Linked DNA regions of Stegostoma tigrinum. The protein of the gene in region 1 interacts with the protein of each later gene in a biochemical or structural test. Links are inferred from orthologs where the notes say so. Each region holds a gene or a part of one and is shown in the gene's direction. Other genes may lie near its edges.

Region 1 (7,916 bases):
TTTTCCTGACATGACCAACTCCCTGACTGATTCTAATGTTGTTTCACCTGAATATACTAGCAGGAAGAAGTTCTGTATTTGCTGTGTTGATTTCTTTCAAAATCCCAAAAAACTTCTGGATAAGTTACTGCTCAATAGTTGCTATTCTGAGGATAGGATTCCTGTTTATAGAATCTTTCATAAAAATCTATTTCCTGATAGTTCAGAAATGCTTTCAAGCTGATGGTGCCCAGGTCACTTCAGTTAGAAATTAGCGGGTTGTTAATTCTCATCCTGAACTCAAGTTTACTGATTACTGAGGCGAGCATTGTTATCACTTTGGAGGTAATTTGACCTCCTTTTGACGACTGTTGTTTGAATTGGATGCTTGTGGAAGAGTTCCAAATTTAACACTGAACTTTTTCTATTGCAGGGGCAACATTTGTTGGAAGACAGCTGGGGATAGCAAGAACAGCTGAGTGATTTTGAATTGACAAGTTCATGGGGATCATTTGGGAAAAGTTGGATGTGAAGTAAGAGGTAAGCATTTATGTGAATATTCCTTGTACATTAGCTCTATTGCACAATAAAAATCTAAGTTGATTTTCCAGTTAACAATTACCGTTTTTATAAATAAAGTTCAGCAGTGGGCTTGTGTTTCTGTGATATATCCAACGTGGGTATCTGGCGAGGTTGCTCACATCTAGCTCTGTCCATGTGGCGCATGGGAGCGTAGGCCTCTGGGGTCAATGACGTACAGTCCAATTCCATAACGTTGGAGAGCATGTGTGTCCCCGGCTTTCGGGCTGGTGAGGACAGTATCCCGTATATTCCTAGACCACCTCAGTGTGTAAGGTGACTGAGGAGATAAACCATGCAGGGTACAGTTGATTGTGAATTGGAACATATTAGAGATGTTTGGTCTGGACTGTTGTGAAGATAAGATAATATTTTTCTGTAGTAAGTGATCGAGGTTTGTTGTAATTAGTTGATGAACTGTGCTTGTTCTGCAGTGAGGACTGTATTTTATCCATCCTGAATGAGGAAGATGGTGAAAACCAGGAATGCAGAAACTGAATGCACTGTGATGAAGGTGAATTTTTATCTTGCCTGATTTCAGAAATTGAAAACCCAACGTGGGCATCCAGCAAGGTTGCTCTTGTCTGGCTCTGTCCATGTGGCGTAGGGGAGTGTAGACATTCTGTCTGTGACACACAGTCCCATTCCACGACGTTGGAGAGAAAGCATGTCCCTGGCTTTCGGGCTGGTGAGGACAGCATCCTGTATATTCCTAGACCTTCTCAGTGTGTAAGATGACTGAGGAGATAAACCATGCAGGGTACAGTTGATTGTGAATTGGAAAATTAGAGATGTTTGGTCTGGACTGTTGTGAAGAGAAGATTATATTGTTCTATAATAAGTGTCAAGGTTTGTTGTAATTATTTGATGAACTTTGCTTGTTCTGCAGTGAAGACTGTATTTTATCCATCCTGAATGAAGCAGAGGCTGTAAACCAGGAACGCTGAAATTAAATGCATGGTGGTGAAGGTGATTTTTTTCTCTCTTTTTTTTCTTGCATGACTTCAGAAATTGAAAACCCAACGTGGGCATCCAGCAAGGTTGCTCTTGTTTGGCTCTGTCCATGTGGCATATGGGAGTGTAGACATTCTGTCTGTGACACACAGTCCCGTTCCGCGACGTTGGAGAGAAAGCATGTCCCTGGCTTTCAGCTGGTGAGGACAGCATCCTGTATATTCCTAGACCTTTGCAATCTGAACAGTGACTGTGGAGATAAACCATGCAGAACACAATAAGAATAGATCTAAATCCTTACATAGGCATCTTTGATTTGTGTTGTCAAGGCAGCAAATAAGTTTTCACATTATTCTTTGGCCCTGACTTTGGTGAGAAAAATAAAATGCAAAGTTTTCACATTGGCATCATTGTCGCATTTGTAAAACTTGGCAACTCCTATCTGGGTGAGGGATAAATAAGAGACATTGAAGATGTGATCATGCCAGAAACATGAGATGCCTGCAAAGAAGTGGAATATTGGTTTATCTTCTGGCTTGTGAGCTTTCATAATGTTGAAAGCATGGTTGTCACACAATAGTACTTCCTATCCTGTCATATAGGAATGTGTATTAGGTATAAAATGTCCTGGCAGCAGATTATAAAATAGCTTTACAAGTGGCAGTCATTTTGATTTGTAGATGCCATTTGGATCTTTGAAAAGATGTTTAGATAGGTATGTTTATTTGCATCTTGTCCACTTACTAATCTGCTGTTATATCTGCTTTATTTCAGATACTGCTTCACCAGCTGTGGTGTACTTCACACGAGTGCTGTTTGAGTTGTATATGCAACTATGTACAAAACCAAGTTATCACTAAACTTTTGTATGTTTTGCATATTTAAATAAAATTAAAATGCAAGAGATCAGTTTTTCTCCATTGCCATGGTCTGTCTTTGACTTTCCACCTGATTCACTCCATTAATTTGTTTCAACATTGACCACATTTCAAAACAATTATTTTGGCTGTAATGGATTTGAATGTCCTCCTGGTGAAACGTAATGCAAGCATGGATTGATTTTTACACCATTTTCCTTTGCTTTGAAAACAGATCATTCAGGTGCTTGAGGCTGTTCATTGTTGATCTGTCTGAAAACTCCCATTTATTTAGAGATAGTACAAACTGCCAATGCTGGAATCTGAAGAAGGGCCCAGACTCAAAGTAGCTTTCCTGCTCCTCTGATGCTGCCTGACCTGCTGTGTTCATCCAGCTCTACACCTTATTCACGTTTATTTACGTGCTTTTACTCCATTTTGTCCTCAAGTATGAGTTTGCTCTGTGGGACAGGCTTCCAAGCTTTGACCACTCTAGTAACAATCCCATTGTAAATCAAGGTTGTAGGTTCAGTTCCCAGTCAACAAAACTTTAGGTTGACACTTTAGTGCATTGTTGGGGATGTGCTGTACCATCAAAAGTGCAGTTGTGTCTTTCCCTATAAATCTCATATCACCATTCAAAAATGAGTGAATTTGTTTCTGGGCAATATGTAACCCTGTGCCAGTGTAACAATATTAACCAATGTAGTTAGTGGCAACAACTTTAACTTGTCCAAACATGGTACAGGAGCATTAGGAAACAATTTGAATAGCCATGCAAGATATATTGGGGTAGATGACTAAAACATAGACATACAGTTCAAACAGACCAGCCTGTCCTTACCGACCACAGACCCAAACTAAAACAGTCCCACCTTGCCTGTGCTTGGTTCATAGCCCTCCAAACATTTTTTACTTGTATCTATGTAAATGTCTTTTTAATGTTGTAACTCTCACCATTTCTCAAAGTTCATTTTACACACGAACCAGTCTCTGTAAAATAACTGCCCCAACTGTCTTTCAACTCCTTCTCCTCTCCCTTAGAAAATATGTCCTTTTACTCTTGAAATCACACATCCTAGGGAAAAGGCACCTGCCACTCACCTCTTCTATACCTTTTTATTATTTTATAAGCCTCAATGATGCCACCTCTCAACTTTCTGTGCTCTGGTGAAAAAATCCCAGCCTCGAAACTCAAACCCTCCTATTTCTAGCTAAATTCTGACAACTAATCTAATCCCCTTAAAATTATATAAGTAGATAGATTAATTGCTGTAGTATAAAAAAGACCAGGAAGTCTGTTCAATGTAAGATAAAGTGTGAAGCTGGATGAACACAGCAGACCAAGCAGCATCTTACGACCACAAAAGCTGACATTTCGGGCCTAGACCCTTCATCAGAAAAAAAAGTTCAATGGTCGTTGCTTCTCGGTTCTGATGGTGAGATGTTAATTTATCGGCTAGTTCCTTGTTAGATGTCTCTGAAAATTTACATTGATTTGTAAGTATCACAGACCAGTTGAAAGGCTGGGGGAAAGAAGACATTTACCAATTCAGAAGTCACAGGTCATCACAAGTACTGCAGGAAAGGGTCTAGGCCCAAAACGTCAGCTTTTGTGCTCCTAAGATGCTGCTTGGCCTGCTGTGTTCGTCCAGCTCCACACTTTGTTATCTTGGATTCTGCAGTTCCCATTACCCCTGGATCTGAAACTTGCTTGCAGTTCCAACCTGCTATGTTAATTGACGACCAATCAGTTTTGTAAACTCATCATCTCATACAGGAACTCATGACGACAAGATGGAGTTTACAACACGTATCGATTCTTTGCTATGACATTATGCAGCAAGCCTGGTAAACCCATTTTTCTAACCACCTTGTTTCAAGATGTTCCTATTTACCTCTGGTGCAGGTGGGACTTGAACCGGGCTTCCTGATCCAGAAGTCCTTACTACTGCGCCACAAGAGGGTTAAATCGCTGTTTTCGAAACAGTTCTTTCTTGCAGGCTATAGTTTCCTTTAGAGACAACGTTAAAAAAAGTCAGTAGGTGAGCGTTTAGAATGGGGACCAAAAGCAATCCCCTATATTGGGAAGTTTTAGCAACAGGAAATGAGTAGAGAGGTGGGTACAGCTGCATGTTATGGGTGGGATGGGGAAACGAATGCTATGTTTTTGGTTATTGTTGACCGTGCAGGTGGTGTGGTGGGAGAAAGAGGGTCAGGCAGGCTGCCTGTGGGGTTGGGGTAGAGGTAGGGAGATGGACAGACACAGGCAAGCTGCCTGTGGGGTGGGGTAGGGAGAGGATCGGCCAGGCAGGCTTGTAGCGCCGAATACCGGTTCTCTGTCTTTAGGGAGTGTCAGGGGCAGCCTCTCGGTACGGAACCCCCTGCCTTCGGGGGGTGGGATGGTGCTGAATCCCGCTTTACCGGTCTCTCCTCCCGCTTCCCCACCGCCCGACGGACCTCTCAATTCAAACGGAGCGCGCGGGCTCCTCTGTGCCGTGTGCGCAGGCGCTGCCTGAACCGGGAGAGAGCGCGAGCGTGTCCCGGGGAGAGGGAGAGCGAGAGCGAGAGCTTACGGGCCAGGTCTGTGAGAGGAAATGGTAAATATGTGCTTCCGTAATGGCGAAGTCATGGCGAAGGCGGCATACCCCGTGGGGACGGGGATCTTCTGGAATGTTCGGAGACTGCAGTCCTAGTCTCCACTCTCTCTCTCTTCCTCCCTCCCCATGTTGCTGCGAGTGCGGCCTCCAACCTGACTAACTCTGATCCCCGTCCTACCCTTTCCCTTTGTCAGCTCGACCAATGTTTTGTCTGGGCTAACTCGCTTTGTCAGTAAAGTTTTTTTTTCTTAAACGGGTTGGGGGAAGGTGAGTAGTTTGATTCCGGACGCGGGAGTTTTAAAAGCGGCGGTTCTGGTCGGGCTGGGAGCCTCCTTCCACTACCCTCCCCGGATATCGGGCTGGGAGCCTCCTTCCACCACCCTCCCCGGATATCGGGCTGGGAGCCTCCTTCCACCACCCTCCTCGGATATCGGGCTGGGAGCTCCTCGCTGGGGCCTGGTGCTGACAAACCATCCAGAGTCACCATCTCCGCACCGTCACCTTACTGAGGTCTTCGCGCTGTTTGTTGTGATTCCTCTCGCCCTGTGTGTATTAACTCAGCCTCGGCATCTCCTCTGGAGGGTGGTATTTAGTTAAAGTGTGTTGGCCCTGTGGTCGGTTTGTTGGATGATGGGGAGAGATTTCAGACCTTTGAACGTACTTGGGGGCCCCGCACGAAGTTTGTGTGAGCGGGTAATTTTCCAACGTTTACACAATGACGGAACTTAGGATCATTTTCTTAAATATGTAAACGTTTAATACAGTGCCCTTGGAACCGGAGAGGCGTGGAGGTTTTGTTTTATCCTTGATACAGCGAGTTACGATGATCTGAAATAGTCTATTATTCCTTGGGATTGTTAGACATTAAAGAAAAAGAAACTTTTTCAACAGTTCTAGGTATTCTGGTGCATGGGCCAAAGAATGGCAGATGGAGTTTAATTTGGAGAAATGTGTTGGTGTATTTTGGTAAGGCAAACCAGGACAGGATTTGTGCAGCTAATTGGTGGGGCTCTGGGGAATGTTGCTGGACAAAGACCTAGGAGTGCAGGTGCACATTTCCTTGAAAATTGAGTTGTAGGTAGTTGGGGTGGTGAAGAAATCGTTTGGCACGCTTACCTTTATTGATCAGTGCGTTGAGTGCTCACGCTGCAGCTGTATGGGACATTGGTGAGGCCACTTTTGGAATAGTGTGTTCAATTATAGCCTCCTTGCTATAGAAAAGACGTTGTTAAACTTGAAAAGGCTCAGAAGAGATTCACTTGGAGTTTTCTGGGATTGGACAGTTTGAATTATAGAGAGAGACTGAATAGGTTGGGGCCATTTCCCCTAGACCATCAAAGACTGGGGGTTAAATTTATGGGACCTTTATAGCCTTGCATAAAATTATGAGGGGCGCATGGGGTAAATAGCCAAGGTCTTTTCCCAAGGATAGGGGGAGTCTGAAATTAAAGGGCATAGTTCATGGTGAAAAATGGACTGAGGAGCATCTTTTTCATGCAGAGATTGGAGAGTGTATGGAACAAGCAGCCAGAGGAATTGGGTACTATTACAACATTCAAAAGGCATTAAATGGGTACAGGAATAGGAAAGGTTTAGAGGGATATGGGCAAAATGCTGGCAAATGTGTCTAGATCAGTTTAGGATACGTGGTCGGCATAGATGAGTTGGACTGAAGGGTCTGTTTCCATAACCCTTATGACTTTCATCACAAATTCAGACTCCCCCTATCCTTGGGAAAAGACCATGGCTATTTACCCCATGCCCCTCATAATTTTATGCTAAATCTCAGATGCTTTCAGTCACTGCATATGTATTTCACTAACAGGGCTTGTTGCTTGACAGGAATATCAGAATACAATGCCAGGAAAAAGATCAGTGAAAAGGTCAAAAGATAATGAGGAAGGAGCGGAAAGTGACGAAAGTAAAAAGTTAAAGAGTGAGTATGTTCAGGTGCTTTGTGAATTCCAGCTAATTTGCACTGTGCCTGGATTTAAATGTGCTCTTGTTCATTTTTTCCTGTGTTAGTTTAAAACTTTTTGCTTCAAGTAAATAAGTGATTTCTCATTTTATTTTACTGAGGTAGATTGATTTATTTGTATGATGTGAATTAAGAGCTGAAGTATGCCATTTGGCCCTTGAGCCTGCTCTGCCATTCCCTAATATCATGGTTGATCTATTTGCTTTCAAATTCCACATTTTTGTATCTACCCTCAATGACTTTAGATTTTTTTCAGTCAAGGAATCAGTCTCGCTCTGCCTTAAAAATATGTAGTGACACATTCTCAAAAGGAAAAAAAAACTCATTATGAATCAAGCCGGTTGTTAGTTTGGATTCAAGTTTTGTAAGCATTTAGTTGTCCAGAATAAAATGTAAATTTTGGCACGGACTGATTCACTTGATGGGTAATCTGTGGTTCACCGGAAATCCATTCTTGCTTTTGAGTCAAAAGATTGTGGCTACAAATCCCACACTAAGCACTGGATTCTCTGGTGCAGTACATTTTACCAATGATATTTTAAATTGAGGTTCCCATCTCGTCTCAAAGGGACAATTCTAATGGGATTATTTCACAGAATAGCTGGGGAGTTTTCGCTTGTTCTACTTACTAATATTTTAATCTTTCGGTCAACATCGCAAAAATATTTTGATTGTGTACACATTTGCAACATGTGGAAGCTTGCTAAGGACAAAATGGCTGCTACTGCTACATTACAACCATAACAAAGCTACTTCATTAGCTGTGAAGTGATTTTGAAAGTCTCGAGGTTTTGAAATGTATTATCTCTATGCAAGTCTTTAAGATGCTGGGCCATGTGGCACACAGCGAATCTAATGGTTCCCCTGGCTTTTGCCTAATGGTGGGGCAGGAGGTATAGAACAGCTATGTGCTGTGATGTGTTGGGAGTTTTAGATGAGGAGAAGTGAAAATTAATATTGCATTCCTAC
Region 2 (7,046 bases), on another chromosome or scaffold:
GACTTTATTCCTTGGAATGTAGGAGAATGAGGAGTGACCTTTTTGAGCTATATAAAATCATCAGGGGCATGGATAGAATGAATGCATATAGTCTTTTTCCTAGGGATGGGAACTGAAAACTAGAGGGCATAGATTTAAGATGAGAGATGATAGATTTAAGAAGGACCTGAGGGGCAACTTTTTCACACAGAGAGTTGTGTATATATGGATTGGGTTGCAGGAGAAAATAGTTGATGCTGGTACAATAGCAACATGTAAAAAAACACATTTGGAATAGGAACATGGAAGAGAAGAGTTTAGAGGGATATGGACCAAATGTAGGTGATTTGAACTAGCCAAGTGGGCACCATGGTCAGCATGGACCAGATTGGGTTGAAGGTCCTGTTTCCGTGCTGTATTACTCGATGACTCTTATGAACACCGTAGTCTTAAATTCTACGCCTGCATTAACAACGGAAAGCATGGCATTTGGTCTCCTAACTACTTTCTGAATCCCAGCTATTTGTGACATATGTCAACTAATTCAATGGGGGAATCAACTGCGATATTGCATTTCCCGCAACACATCCCTCACACCCCACCCCCACAATAACCGCCCTAAGAGAATCCCCCTCGTTCTCACACACCACCCCACCAACCTCCGGATACAACGCATCATCCTCCGACACGTCCGCCATCTACAACCAACCCCACCACCCAAGACATTTTTCCATTCCCACCCTTGTCTGAGTTCCGGAGAGACCATTCTCTCCGTGACTCCCTTGTCCGCTCCACACTCCCCTCCAACCCCACCACATCCCGCACCTTCCCCTGCAACCGCAGGAAGTGCTATACTTGCCCCCACACCTCCTCCCTCACCCCCCTCCCAGGCCCCAAGATGACTTTCCATATTAAGCAGATGTTCAACTGCACATCTGCCAATGTGGTATACTGTATCCACTGTACCCGTTGTGGCTTCCTCTACATTGGGGAAACCAAGCGGAGGCTTGGGGACCGCGTTGCAGAACACCTCCACTCGGTTCGCAATAAACAAACGCACCTCCCAGTCGCGAACCATTTTAACTCCTCCTCCCATTCCTTAGACGACATGTCCATCATGGGCCTCCTGCAGTGCCACAATGATGCCACCCGAAGGTTGCAGGAACAGCAACTCATATTCCGCTTGGGAACCCTGCAGCCCAATGGTATCAATGTGGACTTTACCAGCTTCAAAATCTCCCCTTCCCCCACTGCATCCCAAAACCAGCCCAGCTCGTCCTCTCCCCCCCACTGCATCCCAAAACCAGCCCAGCTCGTCCCTGCCTCCCTAACCTGTTCTTCCTTTCACTTATCCCTTCCTCCCACCTCAAGCCGCACCTCCATTTCCCACCTACTAACCTCATCCCACCTCCTTGACCTGTCCGTCCTCCCGGACTGACCTATCCCCTCACCACCTATACTCTCCTCTCCACCTATCTTCTCCTCTATCCATCTTCAGTCTGCCTCCCCCTCTCCCCATTCCCCTCTCTGATGAAGGGTCTAGGCCCAAAACATCAGCTTTTGTGCTCCTGAGATGCTGCTTGGCCTGCTGTGTTCATCCAGCCCCACACTTTGTTATCTTGGATTCTCCAGCATCTGCAGTTCCCATTATCTCTGCAATATTTCAATGTTTGCTACTGTAAAAACTAGGGGGATGTGTGAGTTGTGATGAGGATATCAAGGTGGTTCAGCTTATTTAGACAAGTTGAGTGAGTGAGTAAATAGACAGCAGACACAGGACAACATAGATAAATGTGAAGTTGTCCACTTTGATACGAAAAGCAGTGTGGCAAAGCATTATTTAAATGGTGGTAGACTGGGAAATGTTAATGTATGACACGACACAGGAGCAGACATAGATCTTCAGCCCATCATGTCTTCTCTGCCATATAATGAGATCAAGACTGATGTGATAATCCTCAACTCCACTTTGCTTCATTTACAAAGTGACAGGTGCTTATGCATCAGTCATTGAAGACAAACGTGTAGGTCCAGCAAGACATTAGGAAGTCAAATGGTATGTTGGCCTTCATTGCAAGAGGGTTTGGGTATGGGATTGAAATCATTTTACTGCAGCTGTCCAAGGCCTTTTGAGATCACAACTGGATACTATATGTAAAAAAGTATATTGTTGCCGATAGAGGAAATGTTATGCAAGGTCACAAGACTGAATCGTGGGATGGCAAGTTTATTCAAAAAGGACAGATTATATTGACTGGATGTGTTTTTACTGGAGTTTAGCAGAATGAGAGGTGGTCTCATTGAAACTTAAAATTCTGATAGGGATTGACAGACTGCCTGGAGGGATGGTGATTTCCCTGGCCAGCGATCCCAGAACAAGGGGTTACAGTTTCAGGGTACAAGGTTACATATTTCAGACTGAAATGAAGAGAAATTTCTCCACTCAGTAGGTAGTGAACATGTGAAATTCTCCTCAAGATGAAGCCGTAGTATTGAAATAACAGATCAGCCATGATGATGTTGAAAGGTGGAACAAACTCGATGCACTTATTTTCTATGTTTCTAGCCTGTTCTGTTTTCAAGGATAGGTGCATTCTAAAATTCCAAAGGACCTCTGTTCCTCTATAAGAGTCAGTATCATCCTGGTTAACATATATCCTCTTGTCTATTGTACTACTTCTCTTGTTGGAATTTTCTTTTTCATTTTCTGCCCAACCAACCTGCTCATCTACATCTTTCTGCAGTCTAAACCTTTCTTTTCACTGTCAAAACTCACACTGTTGCCAAGATTCATTTCAGTTAAAATATTTTTATCATGCATCTTGGATTACAGCCTACATCAAAAATATAAACTAAAAAACCCAAGGGTCAAGTACGGAGTCCTGCAGATCTCCCATGGAAACATGACTTCCAGCAGCAAAATAACCTGTCAACAACTAACTTTTGCTTCATGCCACTAAGCCAATTATGGATCCAAGGTGGCACTCTCTTTTGGCTTATACATTTTTGACCAGGTTGCTACGATTTTGTGAAAAGCCTTGCTAATATCCAAATAGGTTGTATCCATGCTGATTTTTAAAAATTAGTCGACTTTTTGAACTGAGATTGCTCTAGACACTACTGATCTTCTTGGTATTTAGCATAGACAACATTTGCTTGAGAGAGATGCCTCTGATTTTACATGCAGTTGCCTCCACATTGTGCTCATAGCACTACAGAAGAGAAACAAAAATTACTAAAACAAAACAGGAGAGTAGAACTAGGCACGTTGGTCTTGCAGAGACAGGATGAATCGCAACGCCCACTGTGTTGCAACCATTTTATGTTTCTAATGATGAATTATATCAATTTCAGCTACAGATCACATTCCCACATTGTAGCAGCGAGGCCAGCCATGTTGAACCCTCAAAAGATGTCCACCTCTCACTCTAAAAACAACAGACAATGCTGCAAATACGCAGCAGGTTTGGCACTATCACTGGGGCGAAGAATGTTCCAACTCCATGACCTTGATCATCTATGGTCGGTCCCACAGATGCACTATAACCAGCATTTCCGTTTTGACTTCAAATTCCCATCATCCGGGATGCATTGTTTTTGTTTTGACGCACTCTAATCCCAGTGGCCTGTTTGATATAAACTTCCTCAAACAGAACGAGTTAGAGATTAAACTCGGCTCACCATGCGGAGGCGCATGCGCTCTGCTGCCGCGAACGAGTCATTTAACAGGCGATTTATTCCCGTCCCTGCTCTGTCGATCACTCACGAAGCCGCCGCTGCCTGTTGGGTGACTGACTGACTATGAAACCGCTTCCTGAAAATAATCTCCGATCTCTCCACCCCTCACCGTCCCTCCCCGACAACGGACAGGTCACCAGCTGCAAGCAGGCAGCGCAAGCGCACTACACGGACCGTTGGTCATTGACGGTTAGCCCCGCCCTGAGCAACATGTGCGCGTGCGCTCTCTTGGAGACTTCTGTCATCGGTAGTTTCCCTGCAAGCACCGCCGGGCACTCAGCAACAAGTGCGCACGCGCGATTCTGCACCCCTCCCCACCCCCAAAAAGTGGCGCCTCTGAGGATAAGCCGCATGCGCATTGCTACTTTCCGTTCGCGGTGAATTGTGGGGACGCGGAGAATCCTAAAATGGCGGATCTAGCCAACGAAGGTAAGCAGGTGAAAATGAGCATGGAGCGCGGCTCAAGCGAGGTGTTGGGGGTGTAGCTTCTTTAGTCCAAGATGTGCACGCAGCTGCCTCAGGTTTCTGCCTCAGGTTTCTGCCTCAGCCTCAGTGCAGTGTCGGTGTCCGCTGAATGGGTAGACTAAGGGGAGGAACGAGTTGCACACACCCACAACAAAACACCGGCTAACCAGGCCAAAGCGTCAAACAAATCAGTAACAAAATCAAATAGTGTTAATCGTTTGGATAGTTACAAGAGGAAGGGGTAAGGCTCGAAAAGAAAGTATGTGTCTGTTAGAGGTAAACGGTGAGAAACAGAAAGTGATTGAAACATAAACCTGCCAGAAAACGGGAAGGGGGAGCGTTCGAGAAGGAGAATTAGGAAATGAACGGTGAGATAGAAAGCTCCGAAAGTGATTCGGAAAGAAAACAGTAAGAGGGAGAAAGCCACCAGGGCAGTGGGTGGGGTATAATAACAGGGTTAAGGGAAGAATCAGTGTGGGTAGCAGCAAGAAAAGAAGGTGGTTGGTAAGGGAGTGATCGGGGAGGAGACACAAGGGGAAATTAGTAATGCGGCAAGATTAGATTCAGCGAGTTGTGATCAGACCGGACGGTGGTGTGAACGAGTGAAATGAGGGAAATGGCAGAAGGAAATTGTGATGAAAGCAGATGGGAAGAGACAAGTTGGATAGAGGGGGAGTAGGAGGGTACAAAGTGCAGAGAATGTAATTTGGAGTATGCCACTAACTTGTTGAGCCTGTCCATCGTTCAGTAAGGTCATGGCTAATGTGGGTTGAGGTCTCCACTTCACTTCCTTTTTGACCAAAAATCTCTCAAGTTCAATCTTGAATAAATTTAAAGTCCCAGCATCCACTACCTTTTAGGGAAGTGTGTTCCACGTACAATAGATTCAGGAAAAATAATTGTCAGCTCTGTCTTACAAAAGAGAACTCGTCTTAAACTGTATCTGTCGGTTTCAGTATCTGCAAGAGGATATATCCTCCTGGCATCTATTGTTCACTGCCCTTGAGATCTTGTATGCTCAATTCTGGATGTAGGTCTAACCTGTTCAACCTTTATCATAAAATAAGCCCTTCACCCCAGTCCAAAGTGATGGAGGTGAGTGAAGAACCTTGGTGCTAGAGAAGAACGTGAAGGAGTAAGGGACAGATGAGAAATGCAGAGATGAATAAGAGAAATCAATAGAGAAATCATAGGCTATTTAGCCTCACTGTGTTCAATTACAGATTAGCTGTGGTTTAGCTCCGTTTTCCAACCTTTCCTCCATATCCTGGTGATTTCTCATCAGAAGATTTCAGTTGACTCAGAATCTAGAATTTTCTCAACACACTGCTTGTGTGGGGAAATATGCTAGCTAATCCCTCTCCCAAATTGCTAACCTATTTTGAGGTTGTGCATCCATATTCTGGATTCTCTTATCTCAGGAAATGGTTTCTTTGTACCTACCCTATCAAATCTCTCTGATTTTAAGGACCTTATTTGGATCAAGCTTCTAAACAAAATCAAACCAAGTTTTGCAAACTCTTCATTTACTCATTTTATCCCTGATAGCATCATAAATGAGGATTTGTAGGTCATTTGAGAGCAGATAGTTCTGGTAGAGGTGAAAACTATTCTCACGAAAGGGAAGGGAAGGATTTCAAGTCCCTGGATGACTAAAGATAAGCAGATTAAAATGAAACAGGAAGAAGTTTATGATAAAAGGACAGTTTCATAATTGAGTAGACAACCAAATCAAAAAGAACTGGTCCTGACCCGAAACGCTAGCTTTCCTGCTCCTCTGATGCTGCGTGGCCTGCTGTGTTCCTCCAGCTCCACGGTGTGTTTTCTCTGACTCCAGCAATGACAGTTCTTATTATTGCTGACAAATATAATGAGTGGGATAACTGGTTAGAATCATATCTAGTACCAAGATAGATAATGGCAGTTGATCAAGGCCTTCAGCTCAGCCTGAGGACAATGCTGCTGTAACTCTTCAGATGGCCTCCAACCCCAACTATTGGTGGCTGTTTCATCAACAGCTTTTCTCCCATGCTGAGTAGGAATGGTCATTGTGATTGTGCAGTTGTCAGTACCACTCACAATACCACAACCACTGTAATAGTCAATGTCTTTATGCAGCAAGTTCTCGATATCATTCAGGCATGGACTGATAGTAACAATTAACATTTCTGCTGCACAAGTATTGTGCAATGACCAATTTCCGAAGGGCAAATCTAACTCTCACTCCTTGATTAATACAAAGAACTGTGGATTGTGAAAATTCAGAACAAAAGCAGAAATTGTTGGAGGAACTCAGCAGGCATAGCAGCATCTGTGGAAAGAAAGCAGAGTTAAAATTTCAAGACCAGTGATCGATCCTTCTTTGCTGTTTGATATTCAATGGCATTACAATGCATATATCAGGAGTGTGATGAAATCCACTCCACTTGGAAATATAAGCATAGAAAGTTGGAGTAGGCCATTCGGCTCTACAAATCTGCTTTGCCATTCAAAATGTTCGTGGTAGATCAGCCAACGCAGTACCTTCTCCTGCTTTTTCCCCATGCCAGTTGATCCCTTTAGTCCTAACAAGTATATCTAAGTTCTTCTTGGAAGCACTCACATGTTTTAGCCTCAGCCACTTCAGTGGCGGAGTAAATACACAGGCTCATTACACTGGGGGAAGGATTTCTTCCAACATTCAAGAAGCACGACACCAGAACAAAGCAGCCCACTTGAGTGGCACCTCATCCACGATATTAAACACCAATTCCTTCCACATCCAGTGGTAGCAAGACTGTATCAAAAACAAAATGCTTTGCAGAAATCTGCCAAGCCTCCAACAACAGCACCTTCGATATTCATGACTTCTGCCACAAGATCAA

What was found.
Region 2: the proteins of rcc1 (region 1) and ran-binding protein 3 form a complex in vitro, tested with the Homo sapiens proteins (2 studies listed by BioGRID). The link is inferred for Stegostoma tigrinum from reciprocal best matches to the Homo sapiens genes RCC1 and RANBP3.

The regions. Positions count from the first base shown.
Region 1 is NC_081377.1:28,042,661-28,050,576, forward strand, and holds the start of rcc1 (regulator of chromosome condensation), read left to right. Parts: upstream 1-4,846; 5' UTR 4,847-4,966; coding exon 4,967-4,969; intron 4,970-4,995; exon of another isoform or gene 4,996-5,236; intron 5,237-5,294; exon of another isoform or gene 5,295-5,479; intron 5,480-5,493; exon of another isoform or gene 5,494-5,514; intron 5,515-6,794; exon of another isoform or gene 6,795-6,811; coding exon 6,812-6,905; intron 6,906-7,916. UniProt on the Homo sapiens protein: Guanine-nucleotide releasing factor that promotes the exchange of Ran-bound GDP by GTP, and thereby plays an important role in RAN-mediated functions in nuclear import and mitosis.
Region 2 is NC_081383.1:25,610,732-25,617,777, forward strand, and holds the start of ran-binding protein 3, read left to right. Parts: upstream 1-4,045; 5' UTR 4,046-4,124; coding exon 4,125-4,146; intron 4,147-7,046. UniProt on the Homo sapiens protein: Acts as a cofactor for XPO1/CRM1-mediated nuclear export, perhaps as export complex scaffolding protein. Bound to XPO1/CRM1, stabilizes the XPO1/CRM1-cargo interaction. In the absence of Ran-bound GTP prevents binding of XPO1/CRM1 to the nuclear pore complex.